2 linked regions of the Alligator mississippiensis genome follow. The protein of the gene in region 1 interacts with the protein of each later gene in a pairwise test. Links are inferred from orthologs where the notes say so. Each region holds a gene or a part of one and is shown in the gene's direction. Other genes may lie near its edges.

Evidence for each region.
Region 2: the proteins of SALL2 (region 1) and ZMIZ2 interact in binary tests that used the Homo sapiens proteins (3 or more experiments, as listed by UniProt). The two-hybrid records come from large-scale screens. The link is inferred for Alligator mississippiensis from reciprocal best matches to the Homo sapiens genes SALL2 and ZMIZ2.

What each region holds. Positions count from the first base shown.
Region 1 is NC_081830.1:3,902,708-3,913,654, reverse strand, and holds the start of SALL2 (sal-like protein 2), read left to right. Parts: upstream 1-5,637; 5' UTR 5,638-5,726; intron 5,727-5,828; 5' UTR 5,829-6,726; coding exon 6,727-7,432; intron 7,433-7,692; exon of another isoform or gene 7,693-7,840; coding exon of another isoform or gene 7,841-7,856; intron 7,857-7,989; coding exon 7,990-10,271; intron 10,272-10,378; coding exon 10,379-10,765; 3' UTR 10,766-10,803; intron 10,804-10,947. UniProt on the Homo sapiens protein: Probable transcription factor that plays a role in eye development before, during, and after optic fissure closure.
Region 2 is NC_081830.1:10,036,337-10,047,209, reverse strand, and holds the start of ZMIZ2 (zinc finger MIZ domain-containing protein 2), read left to right. Parts: upstream 1-6,422; 5' UTR 6,423-6,557; intron 6,558-10,703; 5' UTR 10,704-10,754; coding exon 10,755-10,804; intron 10,805-10,873. Other genes in the region: OGDH (2-oxoglutarate dehydrogenase complex component E1), read left to right, coding at 1-34, 480-605, 1,216-1,288, 2,719-2,882, 3,241-3,395, 3,961-4,081. UniProt on the Homo sapiens protein: Increases ligand-dependent transcriptional activity of AR and other nuclear hormone receptors.

The sequences.
Region 1 (10,947 bases):
GTGTGATGTGTGTCCAGGACATAGATGAGAAGCCCTTGCCTTGCATAAAAATAGAACACCTTTTCTCTCCTTGTGTCATTTCTCTGCCTCTCTATCTATCCCCGCTCCCTTTCCTCTGCAGTAACCCTGCTCCCTCTGCATAGTCCATAGCCCATGATAGAGACCTGGCCCTGCCCAGTGCCACAGCTAGCCAGTGAGACAACCCCTATCCTACAAAGCATAAAGTCTAAATGCAAAAGGGTTGTGGACAAGTGGTGTTGTCTTGGACAAATCCCCTCAATTTCCCCCATGTTTTAGTGTCACCCATATGCTGTTTCAGGGACGCCAGGCCATTGTGAGTCAACCTGGTTCTGGAGGACGCTATCTCAAGGATTGATTCCCCCTTCCTGGCAGAAGTGTGCCCCCACTTCCCTGACTGTCCATGCCCAGCCCCAGCTCCCAGCCATCAGATTTTGTACAAGACAGAAACCCCCCCCACTTCAGTGTGCAAACATCATTTCCCCACACCGCCGCTAGAACGACTTTGCTGGAGGTACAGGCAACCAGTTCCCTACATGCCCGTGCCCACTGGGACCCAGGAGAGAGAGTGCACAGGTCTCAGATTAGTGAGAGAGAGGAGGGGGCAGGCCAGGACTTTGAAAACCAGCCTTGTTCTTCCTACTTCTCAGCTCAGCACTTGCAAAGGGGCTGTTTTGCCTGACATGCTGCTGCCCTCTGCCAGCCAGTCAGAGCATTGTACCCTGCTCTCACATGCCCAGAGCTCAGCCTGGGCACTAGCTGGAGTTTTGACAGGTGTCAGGCACCCAAGTCCAGGTGCAACCGGGGATCTGGGGGCCAAGTCCCCTGGATCCCAGTGCCTTTGGCCCTTGAGCTGCTTAAACTAGGATCCTCAATCTGTGCCCTCCTTTCTGGGAAGGAGAAGCAATGAAACTCAGTGGTGGAGATAATGTGTAATGCCAGAGGCATCACAACACACCCAGGCACCCAGGGCAGCTGCCACCACTGCAGTCCAGTGGTTGTGGCCAGGGATGGATCCAGAGGAGTGCAGTGGTGCAGCTGCAACCCTGTTTCAGATTGGATCCAGCCTGGAAATCTGAGCATTTTCTTCAAGTCCCCAATGCAGGTAACAATCCCCAGCTTCCCCTCTTGCTCAAAGGCACATCACCTCCCCTCTCCTTCCCTGTACCCTGCCTTCAACTGCTGTGTTCTCCACTGTCCCCTGGGGCAGAGCTTTCCAGCTTGGCTGCACAGGGTGGGCTCAGCTGGGAAGAGTGACCACAGCAGAGGCAACGGGCAAGGATGTCTCCCTACATCCACCCCTGGATGTGGGCCTTTTTTTTCATCCCTCTCCTCCCAAGTCAGCAGCCAAGACCCATCGTTATGTTGCCATGTGGCTCCCCGTCGTTGACTGTGTGTCTTCTGACAACCAGAATATCTACGGCTGTGGACACACGTACACTTTGAGCCCTTTCCAAAGGGGACCATGCAGCAGCCGGCACTGATGGTTCTCATTGTTGTGCACGATGAATCAGCTGAGAACAATTCAACTGTAGGGAAATGTAACTCAGCTCCAACTAACACAGCTTCCTCCAGAGGAAGAGAGGAAAGGCCCCCATGCATTGCAATGAGCACCTGGGGAGGCACAAGGAGACCTTCTGCCCTGCCCCTTATTTTTCCAAGAGGAAGGGGTGATATGAGGACCCAGTCATGGTCCGAATGGGTCCGCATGAGAAGTGATTTCCAAGCACAGATGCATCTTCAACCCAAGGCTGCTAGGAGGGGAAGGAGGCAAGCCTGGAGAAGGGCTGGGCTGTGGGAGGTTCTTGCACTAGGGGTGGATGGTGCTGCTGCCCTGTGTGGCTCAGGGCACAGAAATAAACAGCAGAGTCTGAGAGCTGGGTGGCATGGATCTGCAGAAGAGCCGTCTGCTGCTCCGTGTCCAGCTGGGCCCCCAGGTGGCTCAGGCTCCCATCCTGCCCGTAACGCACCCCCCGAGAATCAACCTGCAGCAGGTAGTCCAGCTGGTGGCTGGGGCCGCGCCGGTACCAGAGGAGGGAGGGGGCATATGTGGTTGTGTAGTTGCAGGCCAAGCTGGCATTCTCTCCTTCAGACACGGTCACCTCCAAGCGGACCTGGGTCACTGACTCCAGCCCTCCTGACACTGCAACAGAAAGAGTCGGGGCATGCATGGACAAGTGGAGATAGAGGTAAGTCAAACATGGCCAGACAGCCCAGCAAGCGGACTGGTACCTTCCCCTGTCCTCTCCTCCCACCTAGCCAGTCCCACTGCCCTCCCCTCCCAGAGACTTTTCCAAATTCCTGATTCCCTCCCGCATCTCCTCCAGAGCCCCTGCCCCTTTCCCCTGGCACAGCTGGGAGCCCTCTCACAGCTAAAACTCACCTGGAAGACAAAGAAAGAAGACCAGCAGGAAAGCCAAGGGCCTCATTGCTTCCAGGAGGGAGATCGAGAGAGTAGCCCCAGGGGAGAGAGGGGGATGGAGAAAGACTCCAGGAGGAGAGAGGCAGTTTGAGGAGCTCAGTCTGGTCTGAGGACCTGCAGAAGAAAGTATCTTCCCTGCTGCTTTGTGCCACATCTCAGGCCCTATGCAGCAGCCCAGAAAGGAAACAGGGTGGGAGGAGTAGGCATCTATTCAGAGGCAGCTCAGGCTTCAGGGCAATTCCCCTGTTGCTTGCTATGTTCTGCACTGCAACAGGGATACAGGGTGCCTGTGGGGGATTACATGGAGTCCAGATGTGCTTGCCTCCCCTGCATGCCTGCTTCTTGCTCTGGATAAGATGCAAGGAGCAGAAGGCAGCCCGGTCCCCAACCAGAGCTGTCCAGGCTAGAAGCACACCAGGTCAGAGAGACAGCTGAGGATTGCTGGATCCTATGCTGCAAGCACCTACGTGGTGGAGACACCCATGTGGCAGAGCCCTCTGAGTGAGGCCAGAGCTGGGTCCTGGTGAAGCTTTAGCTTGTCCCCTGCCCCATTTTACTGCCTGTCTGCAGCAGCTGTTCCTTGCCCTGTTCCCCTGGACTGCAAGCCTCTTGGGGCAAGGGATGTCTCTGTGTTATGTACTCATGAAGCACCCCATCGCCACAGGGGTTTGACTAGTGGCTGCTTTTCACTGCTGGGGGTGCAAATAACAAATGTTCTGAGTAGCAAATGAAATCAGGCTAGGAAGAAGATGCGGGTCTTCAAGGAGCAGCTGATTAACCCTTGGGACAATTTGAATCATCATCAAGAAGGTGAAGTACAGACTGGAAATAGGGTGCCAGGACCCAGATCCCCATGTTCCCTGCAGGCAGGAGGGAGTGGCTTGTTCCCCCACAACAACAGCACGAAACTTCACCCCGCCAGGGTAAGGGGTGGTGAGAGGGGAAGAGCTGAGTATCTCCTCCCCCAGCATGCTCACCCCTCTGCCCCCAAGATATTGCACTGCTCAGGAAGTGTCATCAGTCACTGTGCCCCCACAGTGCCCAGGGACAAGGCAGCATCCAAGGCCTGGGTGTTACAGAGACAAAGGAAGCTGTAGGAATGTGGTGAGTCACCCCGTTGCTGCTGACTGTCCCCTGCCTGGTCGATGAGCCCTGGGGTTTTGCCAGGACACTGTCAATGCTAGGCCAATCCATAAAAGCTGTCAGACTGGTACATGCAGTTGATGTGAGAGGTGCCCCTTTCCCTGGCACTGGCTGACCCTCCTGGCTGGCGCACTTTGATCTGGGCCATTGCACCTGGAACAACATAGTGCACATTTTCATTCCATCCAGGAAGAGCACACAGCAACTGCTGAAACTTCCTTAGCCTGACGAAGGGTTTCTGAACTCGAAAGCTTGCTTAATAACTATTCTCCAACTATTTGGGTTGGTCTAATAAAAGATATCAAATTCACCCAAGGAACCTTATCTGCATATAGTGCACATTATGCTTGCAGGGCATCCGGGAAAGCATTAGGGAGAGGAGTGCCAGCACAGACATGGACAGGCAAACATCCAGTGGGGACAGGGCAGGAGGGAGCAGGGCTGGCAAAGGTCACATCTGGATACCCCATAGCCACCCATGGAGAGCTGGCTGCTAGCTCTGTGCCCCACAGGCAGCTCAGTGGCTAGAAAAGGAGGCGGGTAAGCGGGCAAGGGTTTTTGAGCAGGGTCATGGATTCCCCTGCGCAGTGTGGGTCTCAGGGTGCGGTGGTGCCGGGACTGCCTGCAAGGACACTGTCCAGAGGTCAAAGGACACCATCTCATTCATTCCCTTGGTGTAAAGCTGCCTGGAAGTGCTCATGCTGGGATTCCCTCTCCTATAAGAGTGGCTGGGGTGGTCGCACACTGCAGGTCCCAGAACAGACCTGAGCTGGGAGCCTGCAGCTCGGAGTCACAACCTGAGTTGTTCACCACCGCTGCCCTGAGCTTCCGGGACACCGAGTGGCCACAGGTAGAGCCGGAGGTCAGGAACAGGCTGCATCAGGTATGTTAGGTCATGCGATCCAGGAAGCAGCGCTGGAAACGAGAGCATCAGCATCAGCCGGATGATTCAGAAACCCAATCCTCACTCTCTGCAATAGGAGTCGAGTACTCAGATGCCTCAGGCAGCTTTGGAAATCTCATCAGCTACTGAAAATCCAAGGGTTGAAGAGAACATGGGAGTGGTAAGGGGCCTGGCTGGAGACAGACGAACAGAGAAGTGTGTAAGGATGGGTGTATGGGTATCATCTGCCTGCCTTCTGTACCCATATCTGAAGGTCCAGGAAATGCCACCCACAAACAAGCCAAAGACACCTGCCTGCCTGCCTGCCTTCTGTATCAAAGGCAACTCCTGTCCTTCAGGGACCTGGCGCAGCTTGGAGGATATCAGAGGAACATCCAACAAGGAGGAAATGTGTCCTGGAAAAGCCTTAATTTATTCCAGAAGCTCCCCAGAGAGGCCAAGAGGCTGAACGACCGGAGGCTCACACTGGTGTCGTGGAAACACACGCAGCATACTTTTGGGTCAGGTCAGCAGAAGCTTTTATTCAAATGAAACTACAGCTGTAGGGGGGACCCCAAAGTGACATGGATTGCCCAAGCACTTGGAAGGGGTTCCCCCCCAAGAGCAAAATCAGGAGGCTTATATACTTTTTAACAGTCGCTTACAACTCATGTGATCGTACAGTGCAGTTTGCTAGGAAAAGCTGTTACAAACAAGCATTAGCTCATACTGCTTTGCTGTTATCAGGATGGGAACCATGGGGGAGGCGAGGTTAGTTCACAAACCTCCTTCTTGCACCTGGAAATCAGAGTTGTACATACCTTTTTGCTATCTTCAAGGCCGCGGTGAGCGAAGCAGTTGCAGAGGAGTCACAAAGAACACTTTCCCTTATCTGTTCTACTGTACAGAGCCAGCAATTCCCCACAAAGCGGTTATATCTTATAACTCGTATGATCAAAGTTTAAGGCATTTATTTTTTCTGATTCCACCCTGGGACCTCTCCCCGGGGTGCATGTGCAGGCATGGAGGAGATGCAGGAAACTACTCACGGGCCCAGGGAGAGCAGAGAGGCAGGAAAGGACTTCACAAGCTGAGCAGGAAGCACAGCAAAAGCCAGAGGGAGCTGCACCCATGCCTCTCATCACCAGATTCCCTCCCCGGAGGGGGAGAAGAAGCAGCCACCAGCAAGCGGGCATGAGCAACGATAGAGGCACCGACAGACCAAACAGGCCAGAGCAATGAGATGGACACGAGTGCATGGTGAGTCATCCCCAGAAGCCCCACTGTCCCCGCTCCTCTCTTGAGGGACTTGGCCATCTCTCCCGGTTCCACTGAGAGCGATGGTCTCTTTGCATGAATCAGCCCAGATGGAACAACCCTCCAAACCAGATGTGCCCCTGGCTGAGCAGAGACTGCAGGATCTCCCCGGTCTGGACATGGTTCATGAAAGCACTGTAATTACCAGCCCAGATGTGGTCCGCGTTTATGTCTCATCCATTAATTCCAGGTGGTGACTTATGCTGTTAGCAGAACCACAAATCCTGATGTGACTGACGGTGGCATCCCACTAACCCCTGCAGACGCAGCAGTTCCCAGCTGTCTCCTCTGCACAAACCCAGATGTGGCTCACAGCTGCATCATAATAGCTGATTACAGTCTACCAATGAATCCCAGATGTGGCTTGGCGATTTTGCTGTGTGAAGCAGTCTCACTGGGCCGTCTCAATGAATACCCTTCCCCCGTCCAGATGTGGGTGACGGCTGCCTGCTATCCCGCATTCCAGATGTTACTCGTGCCTGCCTCTCACGCGGAGGCCAACTTTGCGCCTGCCTCTCTGCCCAGCTGGGGTTCGCCGCTGATGCTGCCCCATCCAGATGTGTTCGGGAACGCAGGTGTGGGCCGGAAGGGACACGAGGGGCCTGCACTCAGTGTGCTCAGGCTGCTTCCCCACCTCTGGGTTCTGGATGTGCTGTTCCAGCCATCTCACACCCTGACTTCTCCCTCCTCCCTCTACTTTCACAACCCCCTGATGCTTCATGGAGAGCGCAGGCATCCGGCAGTGAGGAGTTGGTAGTTTCTTGCCCTTCCTTCCCTCAACTTCATCCTCCCTGCTTCTCAGCGCCCCGTTCCCACCCCGTCCTCTGCACGCACTATCCTGGGGTGACAGATAGCCGGATCCGGGGTGCTTGTGGGACCCCAGGGGCATGCTCCAGCAGCACAGAGCACTAACCCCACGGCATGGGGCGATGCAGGGGCCTGGATGGAGGTTCCCCATGCCCTCCCCTCGCCTCCCTTCCCCCCTCCGCCACACACGGCCGCCCGCCTGCGCCCCCTCCGAGGGGGCCCGCTTCCCCCGCCTCCCTCCCTCTTTCCGAGCCAGTGCCAGCCAAGTCTTTCACCCCATTGTGCCGGGGATTCATTAACATTCCCGCGGCGAGGGAGCCGCTTTTGTGGCGCTCGGGGGAGGTCGGGAGGCCACGGGGGAGCGGCGAAGAGCGAGAGGGGGAAGCCAGGAAGGGCCGGGCCGGGCCGGGCGCAGGGGAGCCCCGCGGCGGGGTCGGGGGCTGAGGGTGCGGCTCCCCGAGGGGCCTGGGCTCCTGGTGGCCTGCAGCTCTGTGACCCCCCCTGTCTGCCCCGGGGGGAGTCCCTGCCCACCCCCCCCAGCGGAGCCCGACGGCCGGCGCGGGGCAGGAAGGGGTTAAGGCGCCCCCCCATCCCGCGGCCACACAAAAGCCGGCGGGAGCGGAGCGGGACGAGCGCTTGGGGCCGCACAATGAGCGGCGCGGCCGAGGGGGGCGTGTCCCCGGCCCCGGCCCCGGCCCCGGGCCGCCCGGCCACGGCCGCAGCCACCGCCGTGCCGCAGGCTCCGGCCCGGGGGGGCCCCGGCCGCGGGATGTCGCGCCGCAAGCAGCGCAAGCCGCAGCAGCTCATCTCCGACTGCGACGGCTCCACGGCCTCCGACAACGGTGGGTGCAAGGCGGGGCGCGGGGACACCTCCCGCGTGCACACGTGCGCGCACACACACACGTGCACACAGGCGGGGCTATGAATGGCCTCGTGTGTGTGTGTGTGTGTCCCCCCCCCCCACACACACACCCCGCTTTGTAAGGTTGCCGGGCAACCCCGCGTCGCCGGGAGCCCGCCCCGCGGCGGGGTGTGTGCCGTGTGTCCCCCCCCCCGCCCCGGGTCCCCGCGTGTCCCCGGCCGCCGCGGCGCTCCGGACACCAGAGGTCCCTGCAGCCGCCGCGCCCCGCCCGCATCCGCTGCTCGGCTCCTCCCGCTTCCTCCTCCTGCTCCCGCTCCCGCTCCCGCTCCCGCTCCCGCTCCCGCTCCTGCTCTGCGGGCGCCGCGGCCCAGCGAGCTCCGGCCGGGCCATGGCCGAGGCGGCAGGTGCGCTCCCTCCCATCGGAGCCCCCCGCCTCGGGTGGGGCACACCGGGGGCACAGGCGGGTTTCGGGGGGCAGGGGAGCGCGGGGGGGGGCCGGGGTGCAGCGCTGACCCCCTTCCCGGTCTCTCCCTGCAGGGGACACGGGCGACGAGGCGGCCCCCTCCTCCTCCGGCCCCGCCGAGCAGCCCCCGGCGCCCGACAGCGCCAGCTCCTCCTCGTCCTCCTCCTCGTCCACCTCGGAGCCGCGGCCGGAGAGCCCCCCGGGCATGGAGACGGAGCCGCCTGCCCCCGCCGCGCCCGAGCCCCCCGCTCCGCCGCCGCCCCCGCCCGCCGCAGCCCCGCCGCCCGCGCCGCCCGGCGGCCACCTCAACATCCCCCTGATCCTGGAGGAGCTGCGGGTGCTGCAGCAGCGCCAGCTGCACCAGATGCAGATGACGGAGGAGATCTGCCGCCAGGTGCTGCTGCTGGGCTCGCTGGGCCAAGCGCCTGCCCCCGAGCCGCCCGCTGCCGCCCCGCCGCCGCCGCCGCCGCCCGCCAAGGCCCCCCTGCCCGTCTTCTCCATCAAGGCCGAGCCGGGACGGACCCCGGCGTCCGGCTCCCCGGAGCTGCCCAAGCCCGCCTTCTTCCACCTATACCACCCCTTCCCCCGGGGCCCCAAGGCCGAGCCCCTGCTGGCCCCGGCGTTCCCGGCCACGGGGCTGCTGGCCGCCCAGTGCCTGGGGGCAAGCCGGGGCCTGGAGCCGGCGTCCTCGCCAGGGCTGCTGCGGCCCAAGAACGGGGCCGGGGCGGTGGAGCCGGGGCCCGACGATAAAGCGGGCGGGCGGCACAAGTGCCGCTTCTGCGCCAAGGTGTTTGGGAGCGACAGCGCCCTGCAGATCCACCTGCGGTCGCACACGGGCGAGCGGCCCTACAAGTGCAACGTCTGTGGCAACCGCTTCACCACCCGTGGCAACCTGAAGGTGCACTTCCACCGGCACCGCGAGAAGTACCCCCACGTCCAGATGAACCCCCACCCCGTGCCCGAGCACCTCGACTACGTCCTCACCGGCACCGGGCTGCCCTATGGCATGTCCGTGCCCCCCGAGAAGGCCGAACCGGGCGAGGAGCCCCCGACCCCGGCCCCTGAGCCCCGCAAGGGCCTCAGTGCCACCGAGAGCCTCACGCTGCTCTCCGGGGCGGCCACCCCCACCGCCTCGCAGGCCCTGCCCGTCTTCAACAAGCTGGTGCTGCTGAAGGCGGCCGAGGGCCGGGCCAAGGGGGACGAGAACACCCCTCCGGGCCGGGAGGCCGAGGCTGCCCGCCTGCCCCTGGGCAAGCTGCCCGGCTGGGCTCTGCTGGCTGGCCACTTCAAGGCGGGCAGCACCGGCTTCCCCTTCCCCTGTCTGCTGGAGCCGCTGGGCACCTCGCCCTCCGAGACCTCCAAGCTGCAGCAGCTGGTGGAGAAGATCGATCGCCAGGCACCCCCGACGCCCGGGGTGGGCGGCACCGCGGCGGCGGCCCCCTCGCCCCCAGCCCCTTCATCCTCCTCCTCCTTGATGGCCGGCACCTCCCCTGGCGGCGCGGCTGCCCCCAACCAGTGTGTCATCTGCCTGCGGGTGCTGAGCTGCCCCCGGGCCCTGCGGCTGCACTACGGGCAGCACGGTGGGGAGCGCCCCTATCGCTGCAAGGTATGCGGCCGCGCCTTCTCCACCCGCGGCAACCTGCGGGCACACTGCGTCGGCCACAAGGCCAGCCCAGCCGCCCGCGCCCACAACTCCTGCCCCATCTGCCAGAAGAAGTTCACCAACGCCGTCACCCTGCAGCAGCACGTCCGCATGCACCTCGGCGGGCAGATCCCCAACGGCGCCCTGCTCCCCGAGCCCCCCGCCACCCTCGCAGGGGAGGGACCGCGCCCAGCCCCTGCCCAGCCCGCTGCCGAGGGGCCTGCCCTGCCCCGGGATGAGGAGGAGCTGTCAGAGGAGGAAGATGAAGACGAGGAGGAGGACGACGAGGAGGAAGGCACTGACGAGGACTCGCTGGACAGCGGCGCCGAGAAGCCCCCGGGCGGCTCTGAGGGGGTGTCAAGCCCTGAACGGGAGGTGCTGCCAGCTCCTGCCAAGGAGGAGGAGGAGGATGCTGGGAAGGCGGCAGGGGCAGGGGCAGGGGAGGGCAGTGCCCAGCCTAGCTCCCCTCCCCCGCCCAGGGAGGGATCGCCTCTGCCCCCCACGGGGGACCCCGTCCCCCCGAAGGCTGAGAGGGGAGGAGGAGGGGAAGCAGCAGGAGGCGCCGAGGAGGAGAAGGAGGCTGCAGGGGCTGGCGTGGAGGAGCCACGCGCCGGCCGGGTCCAGGAGGGGGCAGTCGTGGCCTGTGGGGTCTGCAAAGAAGCCTTTCCTGACGGGGCCGCACTACGCAAGCATGTCCTAGCTGCCCACCACCAGGTAAGGGCACCTGGGGCTGTTCCCACCCCAGCTATTCCCCCTCCCCTCAGGCCCCTCCGTTTGCTGTGGGCACTAACGGGTTACTCCCCCCCGCGGTGCCATGGCAGGTGCCTCTGGCATGGGGCTGTGGCCCGGCACGGCGCGGCCGGCGCCCTACCCTGGAGGGCCCGGTGCCGGTGCTGGCAGGGGGCACGGCCAAGCTGCAGGACTTCCTCTCGCGAGATGTGCCGGCCCAGTTGGTGGGCGTGGGGCCCCTGTCCTTCTGGAACCAGTATACCGCCTTCGTCTCCGCCGGTGGGCTGGCCTCCAAGCCAGCCCGAGCACCTGCCCTCGCTGCTGCGGCCCCGGCCCTCTATGGGCCCAGCCCGGGCCCCGCGCCCACCCGGCCAGCCCCTGCCGAGGCCAAGGAGAAGCCCGTTGCTAGTACACTACTGCTGGGACCCCCGGCCCCCAGCGAGCCGGCCCCAGATGGCCAAGGGAAGGCGGAGAAGTAGCCGGCTCAGGAGATAACCCCTAGTAGCCCACTCGGCAGGTAAGGTCCCCTGCCCCTATGGTAGGCAGGGATGGGGCAGGGCCCCTGTTCACACTGCTCCCAGTCTCTGGGACTGTCCCCATCCCTGTTTAGCCATGTTCTGGGAGGGGCTTGGTGGGGTCAGAGGTCACTCGCTAAGATGCT
Region 2 (10,873 bases), about 6.1 Mb from region 1:
CCAGATGTGCAATGATGACCCAGATGTGCTGCCTGTAAGTGTTGAGCTGCATCAGCCTTGGGGAGGAAGGTGGGCCTAGGGCATGGCTTCCCTGCTTTACTTTTATGCGGGGAGAATGTTACTCCTCTGCCACTTCTCACAGGACAGCTAGATGCTGATGCTGCCCTAGTGGGGAGCAAAGCAGAGGTGGTCAGTGGATGAGGATCTGGAGTTATGTTGGCCCAGAGCTGGGGACTCCTCTCCTGGTCTTGCCATCATCTAAGGGATGGGAAAGCCAAACTCTTAAATTCATACCCCAGTGGGCAGATCAAGCCTTGGAGGTTCCATGTGCCCCCAATGGACCCCTGGTATGAGCCCCACACTGCTCAGGGCTACTGCGGCCCAGCCCTGCCCCAGGGGACATCTCCGTGCTGGATGGAAAGATTTACGAACAAGCCAGGCTAGGTCTCATCCCCCCAACCCTGCTCCCTTTGCTGTAGAAACTGGAAGACTTCAATGATGTGCGCCAGCTGTACGACTGCAACTGGATCGTGGTGAACTGCTCCACACCGGCTAATTTCTTCCACGTCCTGCGCAGACAGATCCTCCTGCCCTTCCGCAAGCCGGTGAGTGGGGCCTCGGCCTGCCCTCCACCTCCAAGCCTGGCCATGACTCAGCCAGCCATGCTCAGATCCCTGTTGCCAGGGGGCTGGCAGATGTATCTGGGCTTTCTGCAAAGTGGCGTCTACACTGGAGGTAAAACCCACTCCCTGTGGAGGTGGGGCAGGTAGGAGGAGGGCTCAAGAATGCTGTGGTCTAATAAAAGATATCAGATTCATCCAAGGAACCTTGTGGGGCTGGTTTAGAACATCATCTGCATAGCCTCGGGTCCCCAAGATATGCAGGGAGAGAGCAAAGCAAAACAAGGGCACATCCCAAATTCTTCCCACCTTGCTTCTCTCCATTGGAGATCAGGGAAGCTCTGATGCTGAGATTTCCCTCTCCATCAGCCACGCTCCTATTACACCCGCCTTCAATGGCTCCATTCCCCTCTGAAGCTGGTTTTGGCTGTCAGCATACAGAGTCCGGGGTGGGGTGTCCCTGAATGAAGCCGCCCTGGGACCCTGGCAAGGGGCTGGGGCCTCAGTGGTGCCCAGGCCTGACACCACCTCACTTGGGTGCTGGTGGGGCTGTACCCAGCCCCGCACCCTGACAGCTTTGCTTATGCCTTTCCAGCTCATTATCTTCACTCCCAAGTCCCTCCTGCGACACCCTGAGGCTCGTTCTGGCTTTGATGAGATGCTGTCAGGTATGAAGGGCACTGAAGTGCGGCATGCACGGAGCAGTGCAGAGGGGAAAGAAGAGAGCCGGGGGGGATCCTCTGGGGTTGGGTAGAGTACCTTATATGCTGGGAAATAAGAACATTGTTCTTTGAGAGCCCTGCTCTTGCCTGGTCCCCTGGAGGTGGGGATATTCCTTGGGGGTAGTTGGGGATCGGGAAGGGTTCTTATACACTGGGAAATATGGTAATGCCATTGCTTTCCAAGCCCTGCCCTTGCCTGGTTGGGAAATAAAGCAACATGGAGGTGTGCCCAGTTCGTGCCACAGGGGGGCAGCCTGCTCCCAAACATGGCTGCCCTTGGTAGAACCTGATACTCCTGTTCCAAGATCTCCCTGCTGAGCCGCTCCAGACTGGCTCTGGGTCAACAGGGCCTTCCCAGGGGTCTACCTGTGCCCCTCTGAAGCCCCAGCCAGCTCTAGCTCTGGTGCCTGCCTGGTGCTGCTACCCCTGAGCCGATGGGCCCATGAGGCTGAGGGCAGAGTACCCCAGGGAGCCTGCAAGGCGACTGAATGACTGCCAGGGTTGGGCTGAGCTCTCCCAGCCAGCGCGAGGGCTCCAGGGCCCAGCTGGAGACAGTCATGGAGAGGGGGGTGCTTGTGGGGTAACATACTTTATGGTGTATGACAGGGGTTCCTAACTCCTGGGCCACGGCCCAGTACTGGGTCGTGAAGGGTTGGCTGCTGGTCCGCAGGAGGGTTGGCTGCTGGACCAGAAGTCCGGAAGTGACCAGCATACTGTGGACCGGCAGCCAACCCTTTTTTTTTTTTATATTCGGTATAAAAAAGGGTTGGTTGCCTGCCCGCAGTATGCTGGTCACTTCTAGTCCTGTGGTTTGCCAGTTCGCAGCATAAAAAGGTTGGGACCCCCCCCTGGTGTATGACATCCCTCCCCCTGTGACTCCCCTACAAAAGGGACTCTAAAGTGAAGGTGCGTCTAATACGCTAATGAAAAGAAAAATAGTAGAAACCCTTGAATCTTGGTCACTTTTTTTTTTTTTTTTTTAATTTAAAAAACAAAAAATTGGAATAAAAACTGGATTGCTGCACTTTTTATCTTCTGCTTTCATACCCTGCCCTTTCCAGGTTCCTCCAGGGGTGGGGACAGTCTTGTAGAAGGGGATGTCTTATGTTGGGGAATATGGTAACCTCATGTTCTTGTTACCCTGTTCTTTGGAGGGGGGGTGCATCTTGTACATGGGGAACAAAGTAACACAGTTCTTGAACAGCCCTGCTCTGGCTGTTCTGCTGGAGATGGGAATAGTCCTGCTGGGGCATGTTGCACATTGGGAAATACCATAATGTCCCTACTTTCTCACCTCTCCTTTACCATATTTCCCAATGTGTAAGATGCCCCCCTACCTCCAAACAGGCAATGTCATGCTTTGGCTCTCCTCCCAGGCACCCACTTCCAGCGTGTGATCCCAGAGGCCGGCGCGGCAGCCCAGGACCCAGCGGGCGTGCGGCGGGTGCTGTTCTGCACAGGCAAGGTGTACTATGACCTCACGCGGGAGCGCAAGGCCCGCCACATGGAGGCTGAGGTGGCCATCACCCGGGTGGAGCAGGTGAGCATGCCTCAAACCCGGGCATCTGGGGACCCCCCTCGCCCTGCTATCATGGCTTCCCTCGCCGTGTTATCCTGGCTTCTCTTGCTGCCATGCCCCCCCTTCTGACCCTGGGCACCAAAGCCAAGGTGATTTAGGCCTAGGCTAGAGGCCATGGTGTAGCAGAGACTCCCTTTAGCAAGGCAGCAGGGCTGATGCTGTGCATATGGGACTCAGGATGGGGTGCCCATGGATTCTCTATCCCTCCTGAGCCTCCTCGGCATCATGTTGCCTATCCAAACTGTCAGGGAGCCCTGATTTTCCATCCCCCAACCCCAGTGCCAGGCAGCTGTACCCACCCCCATCTCTTCTTCCACAGCTGTCCCCCTTCCCCTTCGACCTGCTCCAGCAGGAAGCTGAGAAATACCCCAACGCTGAGCTGGCCTGGTGCCAGGAGGAGCACAAGAACCAAGGCTACTATGACTATGTCAAGCCACGCCTACGCACCACCATCAACCGAGCCAAGCCCGTGTGGTATGAGCCCTTCCCCACTCCTTGGGTTGGGGGAGGGGGTGGTTTGTGGAATCAAGGACTATAGTGGCTCATGGAACTGGCCTCCTGGGATGGGGGCAAGGGTGATGCCTCCTCTGCCAAGGTACGGAAATGCTGGGCACAGCTGAGTCCAGAAGGTGGGGGTCTTATACATTGGGAAATATGGTGACATAACTGCTTTCTTGTTCCTGCTTCTGCTTGTGATTGGGGTGGGGCAAGGGCAATCTTATACACTGAAAAATAAAGTAGCATCAGGCTTTCCTGCTCGTGCCTTTGCCTGTTCGGAGGTAAAGGGACTTCTGATGCATTGGGAAATATGGTACCCTCACTGCTTTCCCAGTCTCCCCACAGGGCAGAGGTGGGAAAGCAATTACTGTATTTCCCAGAGCATGATGTGCCCTCCCCCTTCAAACATGAGTGCTGTGCCAGCTTGCAGTGGTGACCTTGGGGGCAGACCTGGGGGGATCTTAACTGGCCTCTCACTCTTGTCTCTGTCTGGAGTCCCAGCACTGCGGAGCTGACATAGACACCTTTTCTTGCCACCCAGGTACGCTGGACGTGACCCTGCAGCCGCCCCAGCCACGGGTAACAAGAAGACGCATGTTACGGAGCTGCAGCGCCTCCTGGACACAGCCTTCAACCTGGATGCCTATAAGGCCCTGGCCTAGGCCCAGCGCTCTCCAATGGACCCTTGGAAGCTTGGGTTGAAATCCAACACCCCCCACCCCCCACGTACTCTTCTTCCCCCCTCCCCCGAAGCACTGTCTTTGCCCCTCTGTGCCATGGAAGCTCCTAGTCATCCACTGCTGGCTCTTGCCACAGCCCAGGCTGGCAGGAGTCCTCTAAGGCCTAAGTGTGGCTTGGCCAGGGGATGCAGGGTTTTCCCTTTTGTCCTGCCACTCCTGAGTGGCTCCTGGCCTCCCTGCCTGGCTGTAAGTGGTGCTATCTGTCCCCTTCCTGGCCTACGGAAGGGCTGGACTCTGCTAGTACCAGCACAGGGGCACCTCTGCCTTTTTCCTGGTGTCACGGTGGCCCTGGCCTGGGTTGGAAGTAGCTCTGTGCCCCCCTCCAGCTATCCTGCCACCTGGTGCCATCTGCTGCTCCCTTCAGCTTGGGGATCTGGGCTTGGCTCTGACTTCCTCTGTGTGGCATTAAGGTCTCCCAGGCCTGTGCCAAGCTCAGATCTCACTTCTACTAAAGCTGGGTAGCGTGGTAGGGGACAGGGGCTGGCACCGTGGGCAGCGCTGGCCCTTGCCCTCACTGCCTGACTTATTTATTTGGGGTATTTTCAGTTCTGATTTTTCTCTGGCTTCACCAATAAAATGTCCAAGGCTCTTCCAGGTCATGCTGTCTCCTGCCTTCAGCTTTCCTGCCTGCCCTATGCCAACCAGGCACTCAGTGCGTTAGGTTGCTTCCTTTCCCATGGCTCCCAGTTTCCCCCTTGCCTGTTGGGTGAAGCCAGGCATGAATCCTCTGGGCCTAGCAGCTCCTGTTCAAAGGCCTGGGGGTGGATGGGGGCAGGGGAGGACTTGGGGTTCACGGGGCAGTATTGTGGGGACGAAGCCAATACTGGCAGTAGGAGGATCCCAGAGGGTTTGTGGTGGTTGGGAGGGCTGCAGGGGGCACTAGTTCTCTGTGGCATGGGGAAGCCTGGTGGCTGTGCTGAAAAGCAAAAGCACTGGCCTGAAAGATCCCAGGGCCCTGCAAGGCTGGACCAGAGCCACTACGGTGTAGGATGCCACCGCACAGACCTGGGTGCTGCCATGGGAAAAGAATTCTCCACAACCGTGGCAATGAGACAGGAGCTGCCAGGCTGGCAGCACCAGGGCAGGGCAGAGCCTCTGGTGTTGGTCCTCCACTACAGGCTCCCATTCTTGGAGGAACAGAGGAAGGCAGTGGGACCCTGCTCTGGGCCAGGCCTCTGTTAGGGCGGGCTGGGGAGAAGGTAAAGAGGGGCCAGAGGTGGCTGTGGAGGCTGGGGCAGGGCAGGGCTCAGAGCTGCATGTAGTGAAGGGGTCCCATCCTCGTGCCCTGGGTTGGGTGAGGGTGTGCAGTGGGTGGATGTCTGGGGTCCACGTGCATTAATTTGCGGCTGGGATGCCTGGGTTCTGCACGGGGGCCCTGAGGAAGGCTGCAGCCAGTAGGGATTGGAGGAGGAGGGTTAAGGTGGCACCTGGCCCTGGGGTGGTCTCAGCCAGGGTGTGCACACGTACACCCTTGTACACATGGGCACATGCACACCCAGAGAACCCAGCAGGGGCAAGGGCAGGTTCCACAAGCAAACGCGGACACGGGGGGGGGGGGGGGGGGTGCACACCTGCACGCACACAAATTCTGGGCATCTAGGACACCCACAGAGCCTAGGCCTCTGGGGGACATATGCATACACACACTCGCAGGAAGCCCAGGGGTCTGGGACACAAAAGGGCACATGCACAGACACCACCCTGGTGTCCGGGACGTGCACACACACAACCGAGGCAGCCAGGGTGTGAACGCACACATGTGCACGTGCACAGGCCTGGGCCCTGCGGCTGTGTAATGACAGGGAGTGGGGTGCTGTGTCGGGCTGTTAACTCTGGAACCTACTGATGCCCGCCACCCCCCCAGGCCTCCACATGGCCCGGGGGGGGGGTCAGGCCACAGGTGGTTTAAGGGGGGGCGGGTACGCTGTTGCTATAGCAACCGGAGGGGGGGGGAAGAGGCCGCCTTTGGGACAGGAAGTGCAGACTGAGACTTAGCCCTAATTGGTTGCTCGGGGCGGGGCTGCCCTTGGCCAGGACTCGACGGGCAGAGGAAGGGCCAACGGGAGAAGCGGCGCCGGCCGGGCCCAGGGTGCGGACGAGACGGGGCGCGTCCCAGCAAATCGGGGGGCTGGATGCAAATGAGATGCAAATGAAGGCCGGCCGAGGCGGGTGCGGCAGGCCGGGAGGAAACAGGCCGGGCGGGGGAGCGGCGCTCGGCGCTCGGCTGCTCAGGCCTGAGCGGGGCGGGGCGGGGCGGGGCGCGCGGGGATCGGCTCCATTGTGCAATCGCCGCGGCGGGGATCGGGCGGGATCGAGCGGGACCGGCGCTGCCATGTCCGCGGCCCCGGGCTGAGCTCGCGCCTCCCCCGCACCCGGCCTCGTTGCCGCCGCGGGCAAGGTGAGCGCGGCGCGCCGGGTCCCCCGGGAAGGGCGGGGCGGCGGGGCCGGATCCCCGCGTCGGATCCCCCCGGGGCCGTCCGGACCCCGCAGCGCGCGGCGGGGAGCGCGGCCCGAGCGCGCGGGGGCGCCCGGCCGGCCCCGCCGCTGCCGGGGCTCGAACCCGCGCTGCCGCCTTTGTCCCGCGGCGCCCCCCAGCGCCGGGGCCGCCCCGCCGCCATCTTGGGGATGGGGGTACCCAAGGGGAGCCGTCGCCATGGCAACGCGGGTCTCGCCCGCGGCCCCCCCCCCGCCCCGCCAGCCCGCCCCACGCGTGGGGAGAGCGAGGCGGGCCGGGCCCCTGGGCGAGCTCGTCCCGCCCGGCGGGGAAGCCATGGCAGGCTCGGTGGAGACCGGGGGGGGGGGGCTTCCTTAGTCTCGCCCCGCACCCATTTCTCAGGTGAGGAAACTGAGGCAGAGCGGGGCAGCAGCTAGGGGAGAGCCCAGGTGTCTGGGGGCTTTGTTAATCTCACCCTGTGCCCGTTTCTCAGGTGAGGCAGTGGCTTGGCAGAGGAGAGCTCAGGTGTCCGGGGGGCTGAAGAGGCCCAAAATGACTGAGCCTGCAGGCCAGGCGAGGCGGGGGTGGGCTCTGGGACGGGCAGCGTGGGAGAGCAGTTAGAGGAAGCGGGCGACTGCTTGGGGTCTGCTGGGCCAGGCCAGGCCGGGCCTGTCTCGGTGTCAGGTGCTGTACACGCAGATCTGGGCGCGACCTGGCCCCCAGGAGCCTGGTGCAGACACCACATAGGTCCAGAGCCAAGCTGAAGTCATTGCCCCGCTCACTGGCTATTGGCCGGCTGGATCCCGGCCCAGCTGCGCTCGGTGCTGTACTGTGCTGAAGGGTCTGGCAGGTGGGTGTCCTGGACGTGTGGGGGGAGGATGGATGCTTGGCTCCTGTGCGTGCGCCCTGGTCGCTCGGGTCCTACATGCGCGTGTGTCCCAGTTGCGGGGGGGCGCGTGTGCGATATTTTTGTCCCCGTGAGCCCTGGGTTGCATGTGCATATGTGTGCGTGCATGCGAGCGTGTCAAATGCCTGGGTTCAGTCTGTGTGTCTGTGTGTGCGCGCACATGCACGTGCCTGTGTCCCAGACACCTGGGTTCTGCGTCTGCTGTCCTGGGGCTGGGGGGCTGTGTGTATGTGTGCGTGCGTGTGCATCCTGGACACCTGGGTCCTGACTCTGTGTGTGTGTGTGTGTGTGTGTGTGTGTGTGTGTGCTTGCATGCTCATTAGGGGGCATGGTCTTGGCCTCAACGTGTGCATGTGCCAGGCCTGGCTGGATTTCCCAGGCAGGGCAGGCCCCGGAAATCCCCCCAGGGCTTTGCCATGGCCTGCTGTGGGGAGGGAGGGCACACTTCTTCCTGGCAGTGTCCTTAGTGTGACTTCCCCCACACGCACACAGGCAGTGGCTGGGATGTGTCATCCCCGCCCCCACGCGTGGGCCGTTGCAGAGCTGCCAGCAAGAGGAGGGCTGGGGGGGGCCATGTGTCACAGCAGCATGTGTCAGTGGTGGTGCCAGCCCTGTGTGTGTCATGGTAGCCCACAGGTCAGCCATCCTGTGAGCTTCATGTGTGTCGCAGTAGCGCATGGGTTAGCAATGGTGCAAGCCTGGTGTGCATCACAGCAGTGTGTATACGTGCAGCTATGACCCTGGTGTGTGACACAGCAGTGAATGGGTCAGTAGTGGTGTGAGCCCCATGCGTGTCATGGTAACACACAGGTCAGCAGTGATGTGAGCCCTGCATGTGTCATTGTGCATAGGTCAACAATGGTGTGAACACTGCGTGTGTCATGGTAGTGCACAGGTCAGAAACGGTGTGAGCTCCACATGTGTTATGGTAGCACACAGGTCAGCAATGGTGTGAGCTCCATGTGTGTCATTGTAGTACATTGGTCAACAATGATGTGAACACCTTGTGTGTCATGGTAGTACATGGATCAGCAATAGTGTGAGCTCCATGTATGTCATGGTAGCACATGGGTCAGCAACGGTATGTGTTGTTGTAGTACATGGGTCAGTGATGGTGTGAGCCCCTCGTGTGTCATTGTAGCCCACAGGTCAGCAATGGTGTGAAAAATGCCCGTGTCATGTTAGGACACGGGACAGCGGTGTTGTGAGCCTCATGTGTCACAGTAACGTACAAGTCAGCAATAGTGCAAGCCTGGCATGCGTCACAGCGGCATGTATCAGCAATGGTGCGAGCCTGGCATGTCATGGCAGTGCATGGGTCAGCAGTCACATGAGCCATGTGTGTCATGGTAGCACACGGGTCAGCAGTCATGTGAGGCCCATGTCTGTCATGGTAGTGCACAGGTCAGCAATGGTGCAAGTCCCGCATGTGTCATGGTAGCAAGTATCACTGACTGCTAATCTATGCACTGCTGTGACATGCCAGGCTTGCACAGTCACGCTGGCCCCATGCGTGTCATGGTAGCACATGGGTCAGCAGTCATACGAGTCTGGGACATGGTAGCACAGGGGTTGGCAGTTATGCAAGCCACATGCATGTCATAATATCACAGGGGTCAACAGTTGTGTGAGCCTCACATGTCATGGTAGTACATGGGTCAATGCTTGTGTGAGCTCGTTGCACGTGGCAGCAATGCCCATGCGAGCTGGAGGTGTTGCTCCTCTTGGGTTCCCCCCAGCCACAGGGCCAAGGCCAGAGTTACCTCTACGCTCTGACCACTATCCTCCTGCTCATGCAGGTCAGCTCTAGTGCTCCCAGGTGGGCATCGCACCATGCAGCGTGCCCAGTCCTGCTGCCCACATGGCTGGCAGGGGGGCTGGCTGGGCCAGTCCATCCCCTGGGCAGAAATGTTTTGGGTGCCCTTCTGTGCCTCTCTCAGCCCCTAGTCCTGGGGCCAGTTGGATGCTGCCCCCTGCCCTCCTGCTGCAGCTGGGAGAGTTAAGTGCGTGGGGAGGGTTATCAGAGCGGCTTGGTTACCTAATGGTTATAGCAGGGTGGGGGTGCAGGGTCTATTCCCCCCTGACCTTCCCCCTGTGCCTCAGTTTCCCCCTCCCAGCAGGCATCTGGGGTGCTTCCATCCCCTGCCCCCTGGAGCTAGGGGGATTAAATGCAGGGCTGTGGGGAGAGGGGATAGCAAAGCAGCCTGGCTGCCTAATGGTTAGAGTGGGGTGGGGCAGCGGGTCTGGTCTCCCGTGCCTCAGTTTCCCCCTCCCAGCAGGCCTTCAGTGGAACTTGAGGTGACGCTGTCCCTTTAAGGGAGCTGGTTTGGACTGGTGAGGCTAGGAGTGGCTCCAGGAGAACACTGCGTTCTGCCTGCCCAGGGGAGTGGTGCCGGGGCCTGCCAGGGGCTGGGGCCCCTGGGTGGGGGCCCAGACACAGCCAGCTCTGGGGTGGAGCAGTGCCTAGCCCGAGGGCCCCCTGCTCTTCTGCCTCTTAACCCCTTCCTGCTCCCCCCAAGTCAGCTCAGCACCAAGAGGCTCTAGTTGAACCGTGCCTCAGTTTCCCTCAACCCATGCTGGATTCCAGCCCCATCCACCAGCCACGGTCTGGCTGAGATCTACCCAGTGAGCTGCTTGTGACCCACCAGGGTAGGGCAGCAGGTTGGCCTGAGCCCTTGGGAATCCCCCGTCAGGACTCCTGGGTTCTGTTTAGGCTCTGGGCGGGGGAGGGGAGGTTGTTGTCAGGAAGTCGGAGGCCTGGGTTCTCTCCAGCTGTGGGAGGGGAGAGGGGTTAGGTGGGTGTAGGGGGTGGGGATGCCTGGGTGGGAGGGGAGTGGGGCTGGGGGGTGAGAGGAGGGGCCCTGGGAGCCCAGACTCCTGGGTTCTCCCCAGCCAACACCAGCATGGGGGCACAGGGGGGTTCTTCGACCCCATGCCAGGGTTTGTGGGGGCAGGAGGGTTCCCTGGCCCAGCTGAGGCAGAGGCGGATGGGAGACGCGAGCCAAGGCCGCGGCGGCTGGGCTGGGCAGGACGCCAAGTTCTCTCCCAGGTTGATGTCGGCGCTGCCAGGAGCGAGGGTGAACGCTCCCCCGGCACAGCGGGTCCTGCTGGGGGGGGCCTGCTCAGCCCTGCCTGACTGGGGATTGCCTGCCTGCCCCCCCCCCCCAGCACCCCCTTCCAGCTGATGCCTGCTTGCTCCCCAGAACCCTCTGGAGTTGCCACCACCCCTGTGGGTGCCCTGGGACACGCCGCCGATGAGCTCCATGAACCCAATGAAACCTTCTCTGCCACCCACACCGCATGGGTGAGTGCTGGGGGCCTGGCTGGGGCTGGCCACATGGCCAACAGGCATGGGGACATACTTGAGCCACAT